Canis lupus familiaris: one gene and its partners. The protein of the gene in region 1 binds, or shares a complex with, the protein of each later gene. Links are inferred from orthologs where the notes say so. Each region holds a gene or a part of one and is shown on either strand. Other genes may lie near its edges.

Evidence for each region.
Region 2: the proteins of TGFB3 (region 1) and ITGB8 are in contact, whole or in part, in a cryo-EM structure (PDB 8VS6), measured with the Homo sapiens proteins. The link is inferred for Canis lupus familiaris from reciprocal best matches to the Homo sapiens genes TGFB3 and ITGB8. Residues at the interface, in NP_001316868.1 of Homo sapiens: Gly262, Asp263, Leu264, Arg266, Leu267, Lys268; in NP_002205.1 of Homo sapiens: Ser156, Ala157, Ser158, Asn161, Arg206, Gln210, Cys211, Tyr214, Leu216, Ser247, Gly248, Asn249, Ile250, Asp251, Thr252, Glu254.
Region 3: the proteins of TGFB3 (region 1) and ITGB6 are in contact, whole or in part, in a crystal structure (PDB 4UM9), measured with the Homo sapiens proteins. The link is inferred for Canis lupus familiaris from reciprocal best matches to the Homo sapiens genes TGFB3 and ITGB6. Residues at the interface, in NP_001316868.1 of Homo sapiens: His259, Gly262, Asp263, Leu264, Arg266, Leu267, Lys268; in NP_000879.2 of Homo sapiens: Ser142, Ala143, Ser144, Asp147, Pro196, Cys197, Ser199, Ile200, Tyr202, Cys204, Ala234, Asn235, Ile236, Asp237, Thr238, Glu240, Asp271, Lys355.
Region 4: the proteins of TGFB3 (region 1) and TGFBR2 are in contact, whole or in part, in a crystal structure (PDB 9B9F), measured with the Homo sapiens proteins. The link is inferred for Canis lupus familiaris from reciprocal best matches to the Homo sapiens genes TGFB3 and TGFBR2. Residues at the interface, in NP_001316868.1 of Homo sapiens: Arg325, Lys331, Trp332, His334, Tyr390, Tyr391, Val392, Gly393, Arg394; in NP_003233.4 of Homo sapiens: Leu50, Phe53, Asp55, Ser72, Ile73, Thr74, Ser75, Ile76, Glu78, Val100, Asp141, Glu142.

What each region holds. Positions count from the first base shown.
Region 1 is NC_049229.1:49,244,155-49,247,889, reverse strand, and holds part of TGFB3 (transforming growth factor beta-3 proprotein), read left to right. Parts: intron 1-2,718; coding exon 2,719-2,826; intron 2,827-3,735. UniProt on the Homo sapiens protein: Transforming growth factor beta-3 proprotein: Precursor of the Latency-associated peptide (LAP) and Transforming growth factor beta-3 (TGF-beta-3) chains, which constitute the regulatory and active subunit of TGF-beta-3, respectively.
Region 2 is NC_049235.1:34,421,243-34,425,482, forward strand, and holds the start of ITGB8 (integrin beta-8), read left to right. Parts: upstream 1-1,440; 5' UTR 1,441-1,523; coding exon 1,524-1,650; intron 1,651-1,710; exon of another isoform or gene 1,711-1,726; intron 1,727-4,240. UniProt on the Homo sapiens protein: Integrin alpha-V:beta-8 (ITGAV:ITGB8) is a receptor for fibronectin. It recognizes the sequence R-G-D in its ligands.
Region 3 is NC_049257.1:6,253,434-6,257,464, reverse strand, and holds the start of ITGB6 (integrin beta-6), read left to right. Parts: upstream 1-1,231; 5' UTR 1,232-1,562; intron 1,563-2,440; exon of another isoform or gene 2,441-3,279; intron 3,280-4,031. UniProt on the Homo sapiens protein: Integrin alpha-V:beta-6 (ITGAV:ITGB6) is a receptor for fibronectin and cytotactin. It recognizes the sequence R-G-D in its ligands. Internalization of integrin alpha-V/beta-6 via clathrin-mediated endocytosis promotes carcinoma cell invasion.
Region 4 is NC_049244.1:14,231,353-14,235,601, forward strand, and holds the start of TGFBR2 (TGF-beta receptor type-2), read right to left. Parts: upstream 2,801-4,249; 5' UTR 2,702-2,800; coding exon 2,608-2,701; intron 1-2,607. UniProt on the Homo sapiens protein: Transmembrane serine/threonine kinase forming with the TGF-beta type I serine/threonine kinase receptor, TGFBR1, the non-promiscuous receptor for the TGF-beta cytokines TGFB1, TGFB2 and TGFB3.

The sequences.
Region 1 (3,735 bases):
TTCCCTTAGCCTCAGGGCCCTTACCTGTGTAACGGGGGTGGGTAATAATCAGTTCCTGCTTTGTAGGATAATTAGAAAGATTGAATGAGTTACTGCATGTGAAGTCTTACAGTGGTGCTTGACGTGTAATGCTCCACAAAAGCTGGTGATTGTTGTCATCACTCTGAGTCGTCTACCTAGACAGAGCCAGGTCACCATCTCCCACTATCACCTGTCCCCTAACCCTGACTGTCCCTCACACATCTATCTGCACCCTTGACTTTATTTCTTTTTTAAAGATTTATTTATTTATTTTGGAGAGAGAGGGCAGCCCCGGTGGCCCAGCAGTTTAGTGCCGCCTTCAGCCCAGGGTGTGACCCTGGAGACCCGGGATCGAGTCCCACGTCAGGCTCCCTGCATGGAGCCTGCTTCTCCCTCTGCCTGTGTCTCTGCCTCTCTCTCTCTCTCTCTCTGTCATGAATAAATAAAATCTTAAAAAAAAAAAAAAGGAGAGAGAGGGGGAGAGAGAGAGAGAGAGAGCAGGTGAAAGAGGGTACATGCACAGGGAAAGGGGCAGAGGGAGAGGATATCCAAGCAGACTCGAGTGAGGAGCCCGATGTGGGGCTCGATCTCGTGGCCCCTGAGATCAGGACCTGAACCAAAACCAGAGTCAGATGCTCAACTGAATGAGCCACCAGGAGCCTCTGCACCTTGACTTTCTAACTCACAGAATCACAGAACTTGCCCACTCCAGGTCTCTTGTGGCCTACTGTGAGTCCTTCTGGGTAATAGGAAGTACACCCTGTAGCCCATTTCAGCCACCCCGGCTCCTTCCTTCAACGGCCTTAAACCAGGAAGATGACGCTCCTATGGCATCCGCCTCTATTCACGCCTTGTTCCCTGGCTGGGCATCGGCTTCCTTGTTATATATTAGCCCCATCCCTCTCCACAAGAGCTAACCTTCTGGAACAGGAGTCTTCAAGCTCAGCAAGTGTCAGTGGGTCCGAGAGGCAGCCCTGGCTTGGAGCAGGACAGATCAGACTGGGTTCTGGAGTTTATGGAAGAACCTATGGGCTTGAGCCATTCTGTACATGGGCCGGGTGTGAGCTGCCTTGGACTCTGGTGTTTTCCCTGATGACCAGATTTCAAGAAGATCTCGGGGTGGCCCCAAGCCTGGCTGCTCACAGAGTGAGGGAGCACAGTGAATCAGTCAGCTTGCTGAGATGCTGATCCCGAACCCGCAGGGGTCCCTTCCCCATGACCTCCCTACACCACAGCTTGCTGCTGCTGCCTCTGGGCTGACAGAGCCTCCCTGGCTGCGTCTTAACCCACCAAAGTTGACACAACACCAGACCCTTCCTGGTCTCCTTGCACAAAACTACTGGATTCAGTTCAGATGTTTCTCTTCTTCTTCTTCTTTTTCTCTCCCTCCAGTTTACTCAACCCGTTTTACTAAGTTCCTTGCTTCCCCAGTTTTGGTAGCCCCAGCACCACTAGTAGGAGAAAGGGCCACAGCTGGCCTTCTCACACCAGAGTCTCTGTCAGCAACCCTGGCATCTCCACATGTCCTCCTGCTGGTTCTCTCCGAGCTTGTGTCATCTGGGCCCTTGGCCCTTGGCCAGTTCCTCCGGCCTGTGCTCCGATTTCACAACGTCTTCCCGAGCTGCTCGTTTTCCCCCAGTGAGCCATCCACATCTCCGGCTTGCCCATGAAGTGAACAGGGATTCCCAGAGAAGATACTTCCAAGTAACTTTGACCTCGTTCTGTCCTTACCCCTGAAGGAAACTATGGCCAAAGGTCACTGTGATTTTCATCTTCTCTCCTCTGCAAACCACCACTCCCTTTATACCCACCGTCATGGCCCTGGTAGAAAGGCTGGCATCTTCCCTGCAGACTGATTCTGCTGTTGGTCTGCAGGTGGCCTCGCCTCTAGCATCGCTTCCTGACTCCTAATCCTGGGGCTCAGACTCTGCCATCCTCCTCCCATCTGGAGGGATTTGTGGCCTTTTGAGTCGCAGCCTCTCCACTCCGCAGTTCTTCAGTGAGCCCCCCTCCCTGGCCTCCCCCGGGCCCCCCGCCTCCCATGTCATCGTTCCTCAGCAGGCTGGCTCGCATATCTCCTCGCCCAGCAAACACCTCTGCGGTGTGGTGGCTGTTTTTTCTCCCTTCCTATAACCTCATTCTTTTGCCCCCACGTAGGCAGGTGACAATTTTTTCCCAATATCATCCTCTGAAAAGAGATGCCTATGAAAATTCTCCTTCGGGGCGCCTGGGTGGTGCTGTCGGTTAAGTATCTGACTCTCGGTTTCGGCTCAGGTCATGATCTCAGGGTCCTGGGATTGAGCCCCTTGTGGGGCTCCACACTCAGCATGGAGTCTGCTTGAGATTCTCTCTCTCCCTCTCCTCCTGCCCCTCCCCCTGCTCTCACACACACACTTAGGCATTCTCTCCCTCTCTCTCAAGTAAATAAAGCTTTAAAAAAGAGGGGGAATTCTCCTTTATAATGCCCCTTAATTGATGCCTTTTTTTGGTTCAACAGAAACACCTGCAATGTGGTAACACATGTGGAGGTCCACTCTAGCTTTGGTGGTACTTCCTGTCCCCTGTGACCTTCAGTATTTCTCAGCTCCTGTGACTGCCCTGGCTGGAGCAGAGGCCCTGGCCCACTGTGCACGGTGATGGGCACACTTCCCCATCACATAAAGAATTTTCTCACTGATTCCGTGTCTTATTTTGCAGAGTCCAACTTAGGTCTGGAAATCAGCATTCATTGTCCATGTCACACCTTTCAGCCCAATGGAGACATCCTAGAAAACATCCATGAGGTGATGGAAATCAAATTCAAAGGTAACAAAATGGATGTGTATAGTAGGTGGAGGGGACCTGATGGGGCGGCATAGAACAGGAGACCCCTACCAAGGCCCCAAGGAAAGCAACCAAACTCCCTCACAGAGACGGCCACCTATCTCATAGTAGAGTAATTCTGCTTCGCTCCAAAGGCAAGGCGTGTGACTTTCAGTTTATAGATAGAATTTGTTAGCATCTGGGAGACAGTGTAACGTTGGGAAGGGTGGTGCGGTCATGCAGGCCAATGGGTCCACCTCTCCGAATTCAGTCAGTAAAAGGGAGACGAGAATACCTCTTTCACAGGGTTATCACACAAATTGAATGAGGTAACAAACGTAAAACATGGTGCCACAACGCTCCACATATAGTAGCTGTCTTCCCCTTCCCTAGAAGAAGTGAACTGCGGTGACCAGGGTTACAGGTGTCCTGACTACTGACCTTTTCAGATATCTCAGAGGCCACCTGATTCCCACCCAGGAGTCATCCGGATTTGAATGACTGCTTTGGGGCTCAGGGTATTTGTGTTACGATGGAGAAACAGTTGAGAGTCCTTTCTGGTTTTCCAGACGGTTTCTGAGGCGCTCAATCTTTGGGCAGTCTCTGGATTTCAGGGAAGTTCTCTTTCCTCTCACGGTCCCGTTTTGGATTAACTGAGGCACACCCAGAGCCAGGTGGTTCCTCAAGATGGAACCAACCAAGCCAGAGCCTGAGGGCAGAGGCTTGTCTGGGAAAAGATGCAGCCTCTCTTGGCTCCCAGGCCCGGGCAGTCCTCTTCCCCTTCACGGGCTTGATTTCAGGCCACCCCCTCCCCTTCTTTTTAAAGCCAAGCATCCAGCATCCTAATCACAGAACCTCAGAGCTCAGAAGACCTCTGGGGTCCTTAGCTATGGGACAGGTCAGGACTAGATC
Region 2 (4,240 bases), on another chromosome or scaffold:
GCACCCGCGGACCAGAGGGTGTTGGGGGCGGGGAGAGGCCCCCTGCTCCACTCTATGCTGCAGCTGCCGGGCAGTGAGTATCTCGGAACAAAGGAGCGCAGAGTGCCCGGGGGAGAGGCTGGGGGTTTGTGCGCAGCTGCCGTTAGGACTGAGCGAATCTCCAAACGGTCCAAGGGAGCGTGGGGGTGTAGGGATTCGGCGAGCAGGGGGAGAGGGAACAGGGGGAGCGATTCTTGTTGCGCGGCCACGCATCAGGAGCTCTTGTGAACGGTGGGCATGACAACTATCAGAGCCAAGGGGGAGAAAAAAGGAGCCGGAGTGAGCAAAACAAAGAGCGAGTGTGGGCCGCGGTGACTTCATGCCTCACCAATGTCCCGCCCACGCTGCTCGGAGCTCTTGCCGCCGCCGCCGGAGCCGCCGCTGCGCCTGCAGGCGGCCGGGGCGAGGCGCTGGGTAGCGTGGGGCTGTTTCCTAGCAACTCGCGGCCCCGAGCGCGCCCAGCTCGCGGCACTTCGGGAGCCCTCCCCCCGCCCCGCCGCCCCGCCGCCCCGCCGCCCCGCCGCCCCGGCCCGGAGCAGGACCGCCGCTCCCCCGCCCCTCGCCGGCCTCGCTCCTCGCGCCTCCTCGGGGGTGCACCCCAGAGCGCGCCAGCTGCCCGGGTGCTGGCCGGCGGGACGCCTGAGCGGGGCACGCTGGGGCCAAAAGGACGAGGGCACGAAGCTCCCGCCCCGCGAGGCCGGGCTACGGCACCCTCGCCGAGCCTCCCCTCCCGCGCTAGCGGCCGTGCGCCCCGGTCCCGGCCGAGCGGGGAGCTGCTATGCCTCCCTCCGCGCCCGCGGGCGCCGGCCGCGGCTTCTGAGGTGCTGCCGGAGCCGCTTCTCCCAGCCGCTGGCAGCCCGCGCTTCCTCCCTCGCCAGCCAGGACGTTGCCGCTTTGACTTTGCCCGCCGCTCAGCTGACGCGGCTGCAGGGCTGTAACCAAGTGGAATCGGCCTCCCTGCCCACCTGTGGAAGAAGCTCGCGCTGATTGATGCGCCATCGACTTTTTCCCCCCTCGGCCTCGCCGGCGTCCCCTCCCACCGAGGCAGCATCACCCAGTGATAGCACTTTAGGCTGGTTTTTCCCCCGGGCTTCGGGCTTTGTTTGGGTTTGATTCCGTTTGGCTGTTCCCTAAGCTGATTTATGCAGCAGAAGCCCCGTCGGCTGGAGAGAAACAAAAGCTCTTTTCTTTGTCCCGGAGCGGGCTGCGGAGCCTGCGCTCGCGTCGCCGCCCCGGGCCATTGACCGTCAGAGGAGGTGCTTCTCGCGGAGGTCGCGGGCCCCGGCGCGCCGTGCTGGCAGGGCCTCGGGGGCCCTGAGATGCCCAGCGGCGTCCGGGCCGGCGTACCTGCACCGCTGGTTCCGAGCCGCGGGGTCCGCCCGCAGGGCCTGCGGGCAACCGCCTAGCGGCACTCGGCCCGCGGGCCCCGAGGTGCGCCCCGGAGAGCGGCCAGGCGGCGGGCGCGGTGCGGGCTGCTTTGCAGTATGTGCCGCTCCGCTCTGGCTTTTTTTGCCGCCGCATTTGTCCGCCTGCAAAACTGCCGGCCGGGTCCAGCCCCGTTCCTTCGGGCGGCCTGGGTGCTTTTAGTTGTTCTTGGACTGGGCCAAAGTGGTAAGTTGTTTGGTTTTCTTTTGTTTTCTTCTCCTCCCCAAAGGTCCTGGGCTGTGACGAGGAACATCCCGGCCAGGTAAGTGACCCAGTGTCAGCCTCCATCCGTCCTGAGAACTTTAGAAGGGCGGGTGTGTGGCAGCGTCCTCCTTTCAGGCGGCCTGAGGGGGGCCAGGTGTCAAGTATTTCCGCCCCGAGTGACAGCAATAACTAACTGTACGAGGACACTCTGTGTGTTGCTCCCGGGATTGGGGGAAGCAGTAAAAGAATGGAAGTTTGGAAGAGGGAGAGCTCCTATTTACGTAAACCAGCTTAGGGGTTCTGCTCCATCCTTCAGGGCATCCTCCTTGAAGGCATCTTTGAGGATGCCCCTCATCGTTTTGCATGTACCACTAGCATTTGATTCAAGGCTGAGAATACACTGGTATAATGGGAGTGACATTTCTGGTTTTGAGTCCAGGAAAGAAGAGGATGGCTGCATAAAAGTTTCTTCTATCATAGTGCTCTCAGCCTGAAGGAATTGAACACAATCGAAAAATATTCTCTAAGTCACCACTTTTTCAGTTTAAAAAATAAAAATAGGGTCCTAGCTAACTGATGCTTCAGTCAGATCAGCCCCTGAGACTGAGACCCTGAGACAGAAACCTAGACCAGGATTGACAGCTTTCAATCCAGGCAAGCCACTTCTATAGAATTGCCTTGATTTGGAAAGGATACTTCTTTATAATGTTTATTGTCCTGATTTTACAAATGAGGACAGGATCTCCCTCCCTAAGTCACAAGAAAAGCTCAAGTCAAATAGTGTATGAAAAGGTGTGTTGGCCCCTTTGAATTACACGCAGATTTAAGGTGGCTATCCTGGCTTGTTAGCAAACAGTAAAACATACAGTAAGTAATAACAGTAATCATCAATTTGGGATGAGTTCTTCTTGGTTTTAAATATAAGCCACACATTTATTTTTGCCAAGGCAATGATTATTGCCAATTAAAAAATAAATTTGCTTTATCTGTGTTTGGTTATCAAGCCCTTAAATTCTGCTAGCACCTTTCTCCGACCTCTCCTGTTGAAGTAGAGTTGTGGTTGTTTTGTAGATTAAAATTTTCTCTTATGCTTTGAATTGATGTGCCATGTTTCTGCCTGAAGCTAATAAAAACGATCAAGTCATAATCTTATAAATAAGAGTTCAACATGGAAACATCCAGCTAGTTCACTCATTTGTTGCACTAATAGTTGTCTAATATTTGTTTCAACAGGAGATTTACCCAGTTATGTGAAATGAGAGCAATTAGAGTAAATTTCTATCTTGAGGTTATTTTTTGGCTTAAATGTTTATTACAAAATAAGTGAAATTTGAAGGCAAAGGAAATAGTAGCATTCATTATCAATTATCTCTTCAGTGGAACTATGCATTGATTGCAGCAGATTTTCCACTGAGTGTAATTCCATCTTGGGTTATTATTTGACAAAGTAGAACACACACACAATACTAAAATGACCAAGACTGTGTCAACAGAGTATATTTCATCCCCAGTGCATAGAGAAAAAAGTGCTACTTGCCTCTAGAATTTACTACTAATAACAATACTTTAAAAATATTCTTTGTGCATGTAAAGATTAGTCAAGTTCTCATGTAATAGCATTGTATTTCCATCTAGTGACTATAATTGGTTTGGAGCAAACACTATGAATGGGTTCCCTTGCACCTGCAGTTGTGAAAAGAGAATGCTTATCTGAAATCAGAACAAGGCATCCTTTTCCCAGTCACTGTCAATATACAAAGGTTCCTGATGTATACTGGTTTGCATTTCAGTTAAAATCATGAAAAAAATGTAAATTATAGCCAGTACAACTCTGAAAATTAGAGATCAGCGTAAACTGTTGTACTTTCATGATATAGCTACAAGTCTCAGATTATATGTCTTCACAGTGCAAATTAGATGCTTAAAGCAGAATAGAAATTTAGGTATCAATTACAAAAGAAATCTTGTTCCCTCGCTTAGTAGTTTACACCAAGGAAATGTTGAGGACAATAAAGCCATATATAAGGAACCATAAACTGCACAACAACATAACTTTGGGTTTAATTTTTGAATTAGGATTTATAGGTCCCAAATATGTAGTGGACTTTTAATAATGAATATATGGTGAGCAAGGGGGATGTTGTTAATAAATCTGACCATTTTTCTGATCTAGAGAAACGTTTTTCAACTTTCCCTGGTGGAAATCACCGACAATCGGAGAAACAATAACAGTATAAAATGGTTAATGAGTAACTGGAAAACACTAAAGAATACTTAGTGGTTAATATTTGAAGAGTTAATTCAGCAAACACTGTTGTTTCTACATTTGTTCACTTGGAAAGGTTAAAAATATTTTTTACTAAATTTTTATAGAGCAATATAAGAATGACAAATTTCAGAAATTACCATTTATTTTTTTTAAAAATGTTAACTATTATTGCAATAAAATTTTACCTTCTGTGCATAATCAGCTATTTATTCTTTAAGTAACAATCAGATTAGCATTCTCTTATAACTGTAATATTATTTTACCTCAGAACATATTTCACAAGTGTTCTGAGATTTCTTTATA
Region 3 (4,031 bases), on another chromosome or scaffold:
TCGGTCCCCTCAGGAAACAGAAGATAGTGCTGGGGCAACCCACAGAGGAAATGAATTTTGCAGAGAAGGAATAATATCTCTATGGCAGAAATTAAGTCAGTTCTTGAATTCCAAATCGAAGTGTTTCCTCACGTAGGAGTTTACTTAGTGAACAAAAGAATGTAAGGATCCTTGAAGGTTCCAGGGTATCATAGAGGTTAGAAATGAAAGGTGGTTTAAAAATCTTCTAAGAAGCCACCATACACAGGACATGTTCTTTATAGACAAGGAGTCAGCTCAGAGACCTTAGGAATTTTTCTGAGATCAAGTATCCAGTCAACAATAGAGCGAGGACTCAGACCCAGGTGCCCTGGCTCTCTGTTGCCCTTGCTTCCAGAGCACTCAAGTACCACATGGCTTGTGAGCTGCCACACTGCCTCCAGCACTGTTCTTCAGACGCTCAAGAGGCGCTGGGGCATGAGGGAAACTGCTTTGGAGTCAGACTGAGGTTTAAATCTGACTGTCACTTACCAGCATGTGACCTTGGGCAAGTCAACGAATCTCTAAAGCAAGGCCACCAACCCAGGCCACACTGCGGTGGTGAGAATGAAAAGATAAAGCATCTCCAGGGCTGAGATGGCACTGGAACACCACGGAGGCCCAGTGAACAGCACCAGTCATCTGTCATATGACCTCCTTGAAGGCGGACCCAAAGCCCTGCACTCTTGGCCTCGACCTCAGAAGAGTGTGGTCCAAACACTTCATCCTTCTTCCCAAAAGCTGTACGGACGTCTCTTCTCAGCTGTGCCCAACTGGAACAAATCAAATCCAATTTGGACCATTTAGTGTTTGGCACCATCTTTCATACTAATCTCCTCAGTTTTTATTTTCATTTTCCAGTTTAACCAAACAAGCCACTTTCAGAGGCTAGTGACTTTAAGCCAGACCCACCAATAAACTAGACTTCTCCTGAAAACACCAGGATCCTTTTGAAGGAATGTAAATATAAACAACCCAACACGATATACGAAAATTTGATGGGAGTTGGGTCATTGGTTCGGATGCCAGCTCGACTCTAAACTTGCCCGGTACTATTTTGGGGTATCACAATCTATGTGTGCTCCACGTCCCAGCCACCCTGCCATCCATTAGGTTCGAATGTCCTTTATGGAATGAACTTGATCCCCCCGCCTTACTTTTGGTCTCTCTCCAGGGCAGCTAATGCGCTGGCATAGTTCTGCCATTTGTCAGCCAGAAGTCTGGTTACACATTTGCTCGTCAATCTAAACCTAACCTATTCTCATACGAGCACTTGGGGTTTCATGTAAATCCACCAGACACTCTGTCATTCAGCAGCAATAGCTCTCCCTAGTAGGCCGCACCAATGTGCCTTCATGAAATATTTCCCTGGGTTGGTGGAAGAAACATTCAAATGAACGTGCTTTTTCAGGAATGGTGACACCAGAATGTTACAAATCTGTTCATTACCACAACAAGGATAAATGGTATTTCTGCCAAAGACTTGGTAACGGGTGCAGTAATGCATCTCAGCACTTTCTGAAAGTAAAGGTCTGCCCTGGGAGGTAAGTCCTATAATGCATGACTAACAAACGCAAACCCAAACTTCGAAACTAAGTTTTCCTCGTCCGTGTAACCGATCGTTTCCAACAGACGCCGCCTTAGGAAGTTCATGACGTTCCTTCTGTTCTCTGGATACTCCCGTCCAGGCGAGGCTGACCCCACGGTTTCTGAAAGGGGGCTTCCTCATTAATCGAGCATGCTTTACTGTGATTTTTCTTACATTTGAATGCACACGTGCTTTTACCAGCCGTACTTCAAAAATCTGCTATGGTGTAAGGGCACGATTTCATGGGGTTATTAGTTCATCGTCCAGGAAGGTATTTTTAACATTCAGTTGAACAGTTTCTTAAGCAGCTTTTTAAGATCCTTGTTTCTGGTTATAGTGATTAATTGTTCATCTTTAAAAAAAAAAAAAAAAAAAGGCAACTTTAGGCCCTGGCCTTCCCTGTGTCTTGTGGCATTTTCAAGGCGTCACAAAGGAACTAAGGAACTGGGAATTTAAACAAGACGAAGTATCCGTTCTCATTGACACGGGCATGACACTGGGCCAGTTAACTTGGGTGTTCCTAGATTGTAAAATGCTGTGTTAAAAAATAAAAATTAAAAATTAAGAAATAAAAAAAAAAAGTAAAATGCTGTGTTAATGTAGACCTAATTCATGAGAACTGTGGAGACAGTGGGGGGGGGGGGGCTTCCAGTCTAGGGTATTTACGAAGAGCTCATTTTATTCCTGCAAGTGTCTGAAAATGCCGGGTAATCATTACTATTCACTATGAGCACTGAAAGTATGACTACCAGCGCTTTAAAAAAAAAAAAAAAATCCAATATCTGTGAAAGGTTATTCATCCAAAGAATGTGTCCTCTAAAATTAAAGACTCACCGAGTTCTGGCATATTGGCTCTCCCCATGCCTCAAATGGACAGAATCCAGATCCTGGTCAGAGAGTAATGGTTTTCTTTTTACTGTTTTGGATTCAGAACAGAATCAGCAGCTCATAGTTACAGTTTTTTAGCACTGGGTTTCAAGTAGAGAGAGTCACTTGGTCACAGTATAAAGATTAGTGTCTACCTAGGTAAAACCGGGTGCCTTGGGGAAATGCAGAAAGGCCTTCCTCTGCAGGCTCTTCTTCGGTCCTGGGCATTCGGAGATGGTCTTTTCCTCTATTTGACTCCCTCTAGTGTTTTCTGGCTGAAGTACAGGAACTAAAGCTCCATTTACACACACAAAAATGTTGCTGCAATTTCTCAGTATTTTCCCCGGTTATCATACACTGAAGCACACTTGCCACCAGATGTTTTGACATGAACTCTAAGTGATTGCGAGAATTTTTGATTGGAGAGTCTCAAGCTTAGGTTCTTGTATTCCAACGTCAGATCTCCAAAGTAGGCATAGACTTCTGATCTGTTAGGGTTAGAGTCCTTCTCTGCCTTTGAACCCCTATATTCTCATTCATTTTTATTATGATCTGAAGAAGGGGGAAAGAGTCTCTAATGAACTAAGGCAAGCACGCAGGCATTTCTTTGACATATTTTCCAAGATAGAATGTAATGGTTTGATTCTTCTAAGTCCCCCCAAGAGGTTCAAGGTGTTTTGCCTCAAGAGAAAAGTGATTCCTTCTTCTTCTTCTTTTTTTTTTAAACAGCCTTATGGAAACATTGCATATTTTCTCCACAGAAGCCCTTAGTCAGACCAGGAAGAGTAGCTTCTTGGGAAATGTATTGCTTGTGGGCACTTTTTCTTTACTGAGAAGAAAATACACTTCCAAAGCTGTCAGCTGCCGTTGCTGCTACTTTGGAAACCAGCCACAGCTGATGTGAGAGCTAACTATAGGCCAAGGTCATCTGGGGATCTACCCAGCCTGCGTGCAGAGATGACACCCATACCTCATGGGAGGGCATGGGCTTGCCAGTCCAGCCAGTCCAGCCCAGAGAGCTAGTTTCAGCTGGAATCCCCACAAGAAGGCCCTTGATCGTCCTTCACGCTGTCGGCAGTCACTTTTACACTTGACCATTCTCAACCACAATCTGCTTTATACACTGGCCTCTTCTCCCCTTTATAACATCCTCCCTGTTTGCAGGCCCCCATAGGGGGTTCATAGGTATAGCAAGTAATAATATTAAAACTGACCTTTACTGCTGTTTGTTTAACAACACAAAGCTCACTGAGGCATGCAGCTCCACTACATCAAATTATTTCAACCAAGTACCTGAACAGGAAATCCTCAGGCTTCTTTTTCTTCCTTCTTTATGACCATCAGCCACCAGCCTCTAATCCTGGCCAGGCCTTGTCCATTCAGATCCTTAGAGATCTTTCCTCTTTCGTGTCCCCTGTCATTACATTTCATCCACTTTGCCTGGTTGCTGTAATAACTTTCCAACCAATCTCCCACCTCCAATTCACCAACATTCCACCATTGCTTATATTTCAAAATTACAAATCAGAATGAGTAACTCTTCCGTTGAACACTGTGC
Region 4 (4,249 bases), on another chromosome or scaffold:
TAAGGAGATGCTCTATAAATACTGCTGAAAAGAAAAAATGAGTAATGGTCGTTTATTACAATGGCACCAATGAGACATAATTCTTAATTGGAAAAATGGGGTTAAAAAATAAAGAAAAATTTTAAAAGTTGTGTTGATAACAAAGGGTTGGTAAACTAAAATGGAAACCATGTTGCAGTTATGCTAGCTCCCCAGACAAGAATGAGGATTCATCACAGTGGGGTGCTACCTTGAAAAAAAGGGGCAATAAATCCAAAGTATGACAGATACTTGTATAGATCAAAACTGGTGAAAATTAAAGGAAGTGGCAGAAAAATGGTTCTTCTAAAATGCAATAGACCAAAGATCAAATTCTGGACCTAGATCTCTAGTCTCTGACCCTAACGAAGAGAAGTACATCATTAACATAATTTTAGGAAAGAAGTTTATCTGTATGACACTTTACCAATACTGAGTCCTCAACAGAAATTTCTTGTTAGGTATTTGAAAAGTAACAGTCATATTTTTCAGATCTGAAGAGTTTTCTGACATTTAAGATTTTCCCCTAAAGAGTAATTACTTAATTTGGGGCATTTAGGAAGGGTGGATCTACAAAATTAAAAAAAAATAAATAAGAATTAAGCATATTTCTCAGTGAAGTTTGTTCTTATCAAATCCATTAAACAGAAGATGGACCTTTTTGGGTGGCCTAATAGGACTCCGTTAGCCATCTAATTATCTCATATCTTATCACACAGTAAGATATTTTGAAAAATGTCTTGACGGTTTACCAATTATTTTAGAAAAATCCTGAAACCGCCTACTTACACAGAAAATTAGAATGCAACTGGAAGTAAGTTTCTCGTTTTCATTATAGCTACCTTCTACCTTCAACTATCTTTGAAAATTTAATTTCAAATGAGTAAAATTCCAAAATGCTTCCTTAGTTCAAAGTTGGCACCTTTAATTCCATCAAAATATGAAATCTGTGGGTTTTTAAAAACCGATCAAAGTCCAAATAAAAAGCCACTGGGCTTTTAAGTTGATTGTTTAAAAAGTATACAGATGAAATGAAACTGACTCATGAACTACTGAGTCTGGGATTTGAAAATTCATAAATCTAATCCTTGTAAACAAAATCTAACAAAATCAGGATCTGTTGATTTCCTTCTTCCGTAACCTGAAACAAAAGTTTTAATGATTTGTAACATGCTCAGAAAATTAAGGGTGCCACTTAAAATCTTTATTAGCAACATATAAGTCAGTTTTTAAGTGCCTGGAGCATGATCAGAGACACTTGGACATACATTCTGGTACTGCAATGTAGAACATCGGAGAATGAGACAGTAGGACTTTATGAAATTCAAATTTGTGTTAGGATTTTTTGGTTCACAACAGTCCCTTTTTCTCACTCCATTCAGAACTCCCATCTCCGTGCCACTTTCCATAAGAAACTTAATTTTAAAAAGATCTCAATCCACTTCGAATACTCTGAAAGGTTACCATTTAGAACTTGGTGCTAATTTCTTCTAGACAACCCAAAAGGTAAGGCTGCCTGGGGCCCTAGTGGATGAAGGAGTGCCTGGGGGTGATGTGGGCTGTCAGAGCCTCTATACTTCATCCCAAGTTTACACAGGGCATTTCCAAGTCACCAAAGGGGGAAGAGAGCGGCAAGAAGAGCCACAGATGAAGGGGATGTCAACTTATCCAGATGGAACCATTTTACAGATGAGGAAGCTGAGGGCCTGAGGCCTTGCAGATCCTCACTTATGTGGATCACTGCTTCAAAAATAAGTAGCCTCTAAGGTCGGGGAAGGGCGGGGGGGTGGAGTTCGGTCCTTTCCCTAACACATAAGAACTCCATTCCTGCATTTTTCACATTGGAAACCCTCCAGACCAGGGAGCACAGTTAGGATTTAGGCTTCCCATTTCCCTCAAAGGTCACTTGCGGGGAACCATCACCTCCGGGACGGCAGGGCGGTCTCGCCGCGGGCGGCCTGTGCAGCACCCGGCACCCAGCACCCGGCACCCGGCACCCGGCACCCAGCGCCCAGCACCCAGCAGGCACCGTGTGCACAATTCCCCGCCCGCCACCTGACAGCCCCGCTCCCCGCCGCTCCCTGCCCGGCCCACGGTGCGGCCGGAGAACTTTCCTTGGGAAATCGCTTCGTTCCCTGGAACTTGCAGACAGCGACTCCGGGCCCAGAGGCCGGCCTGGGGGACCCGGGGCTGGGGGGCCGCGGGCGGGGGCGGGGGCGGGGGCGGGGGGCGCGGGTGGGCGCGCGCCGCATCCCCCCGGCCGCGGCGACCCCAGGTGCGCCGGCCGCCCCGCGGCCTCGGCGGGCTCGGCTCGGGGCCGCGGCTCCCCTGCCTCCCTCGGATGCCCGAGCAACTCCTCAAACTTCCCTTTCCGGGGGTGGGGGCCCGCCTCGGACGCGGCCGGCGCGGCGCCTCTCCCGGCCGCACAAAGGGGGCCCGGCGCGCCCCGCGCCCCTTCCCCGTGAACTTCCCCGCGCGGGGGTGCCGGGCTGCGCGGCTCGGCCGCGGGCGCCCTCCGCTTCCGCCCGGCCGCTGTCAAGCCCCGCGGGGACCCCCGGCGCCCCGCCAGAGCCCGCCCGGGGCACTCACCCGACTTCAGGACCTGCGGCGGGATCGTGCTGGCGATGCGCGTCCACAGGACGATGTGCAGCGGCCACAGGCCCCGGAGCAGCCCCCGACCCATGGCAGCCCCCGCCGCTCGTCATAGACCGAGCCCGAGCCCGAGCCCGAGCGCAGCGCACGGCGCCTCCCGGAGCCCCGGCTGCGCCTCCGCGCCGCGCCCTCGCGGGACCCCGCGCGGGCCGGGCGGGCAGATGCGCGGCCCAGATGTGGCGCCGCTCGGCAGCCGCGCGGGGGCGGGGGCGGGGGCGGGGGCGGGGGGCCTGAGGCCGGGGCGGCGCGGGGCGGCGCGGGAGGCCCCCGGCGGCCGAGGGGAGCTGCGCAGGAGGCCGGCGCCCGGCCCGGCGAGCGCGCGCGCGGGGGTGTCCTCGCTCGGTGCGCGCGAGTGACTCACTCCGCTTCGCCCGGGCGCCGCGGGGGAAACAGGAAACTCCTCGCCAACAGCTGGGCAGGACCTCTCGCCGCCCGAAAGCCTGCTCCCGCGGCTCGGCCTCCAGCCCTCCTCTCCCCCGCCTGCCAATCACGTCCCCGAGACCGGCCCCTCCGAGGGATTTGGCGAACTGGCGGCCGCCCCCGGCGCCCTCGGGAGCTCCCGGCGCCCCCGGGGCACGCGCTCCGCTCGGGGCAGCCGCGGGGCGCGCAGAGGGGCGCACTCTTCCGGGCACCCCCTCGGAGCATCCTCCGCCTTGCCCCAGGTGCCCCGGGGCCGTGTCTGCGGACCCCCGAGTGCCCGACGCCCGGGTGCGTCCCGAGACGGGAGTCGCGAGCACAGTGTTTTGTGTGTGTTTGCTTCGGGGCCCGCAGCCTGTACGGCCGCACTAAACTTTGCTTTCGGTTGCGCGTATGCACACACCGCCGCTTTGCGAGATGTTCTTCTCAGCTGCAGGTCGAAGTCCGGAAGTTTTGTTTTGTTTTGTGTTGTTGCAACCCCGCCCTTGACTGTGCATCTCCACCACCTGAGTATCTTGCTTAAAACGCGGATTTTGACCCGGGATGTCCGCCCGAGGTGCGCAGCGTTTCTGACGGCCCCTTGAGAGCTGCCTCCGACTTTGAGTTGCCTCCCCCTGGGGGTGCTTCGGGGAGTTAAGTGTAAATAAGCAGTCCCCACGGAGTGATGGGGGCGGGGGGGCGCATTTTAGGTTTAGAATGTCCCGAGTATGGCAGAAAATGCACATAGAAAAGTGGCCTGGGAGTCAGCTCAGTGCCAGGGTTTGCATTCCAACACTGCCCCTGAAGACAGACAGTCCTTAGAGTCACCTCCGCCTAAGGAGAAACAAGGATCAACTTTCGACTCTCCCTTCTTGCGAGGGTGACCAGCTTTGCCCTAGAAAGATCCTGGGGGACACCTTTGAAGTTTAATTATTACAGACCCACTCTCTTCTTTCCCGTGGGTCTTGGTTGGGTAAGGAATTGTATGCTCATTTTTACTCCCAACTCTCAAAGACTTGGGTTCTGTATAGCTTGCCCACCAGGAGACCTTCCAGCAGGTTACACAACGAACTTCCTTTATCTAAGACAAAGAGTATTTGCAGAGGCAGGTGGCCAGGCTCACTGGGAAGAAAAGCAAATAGCACTCCCCAGAAACCCAACTCCAGAAAACGTCCCTGTCAGT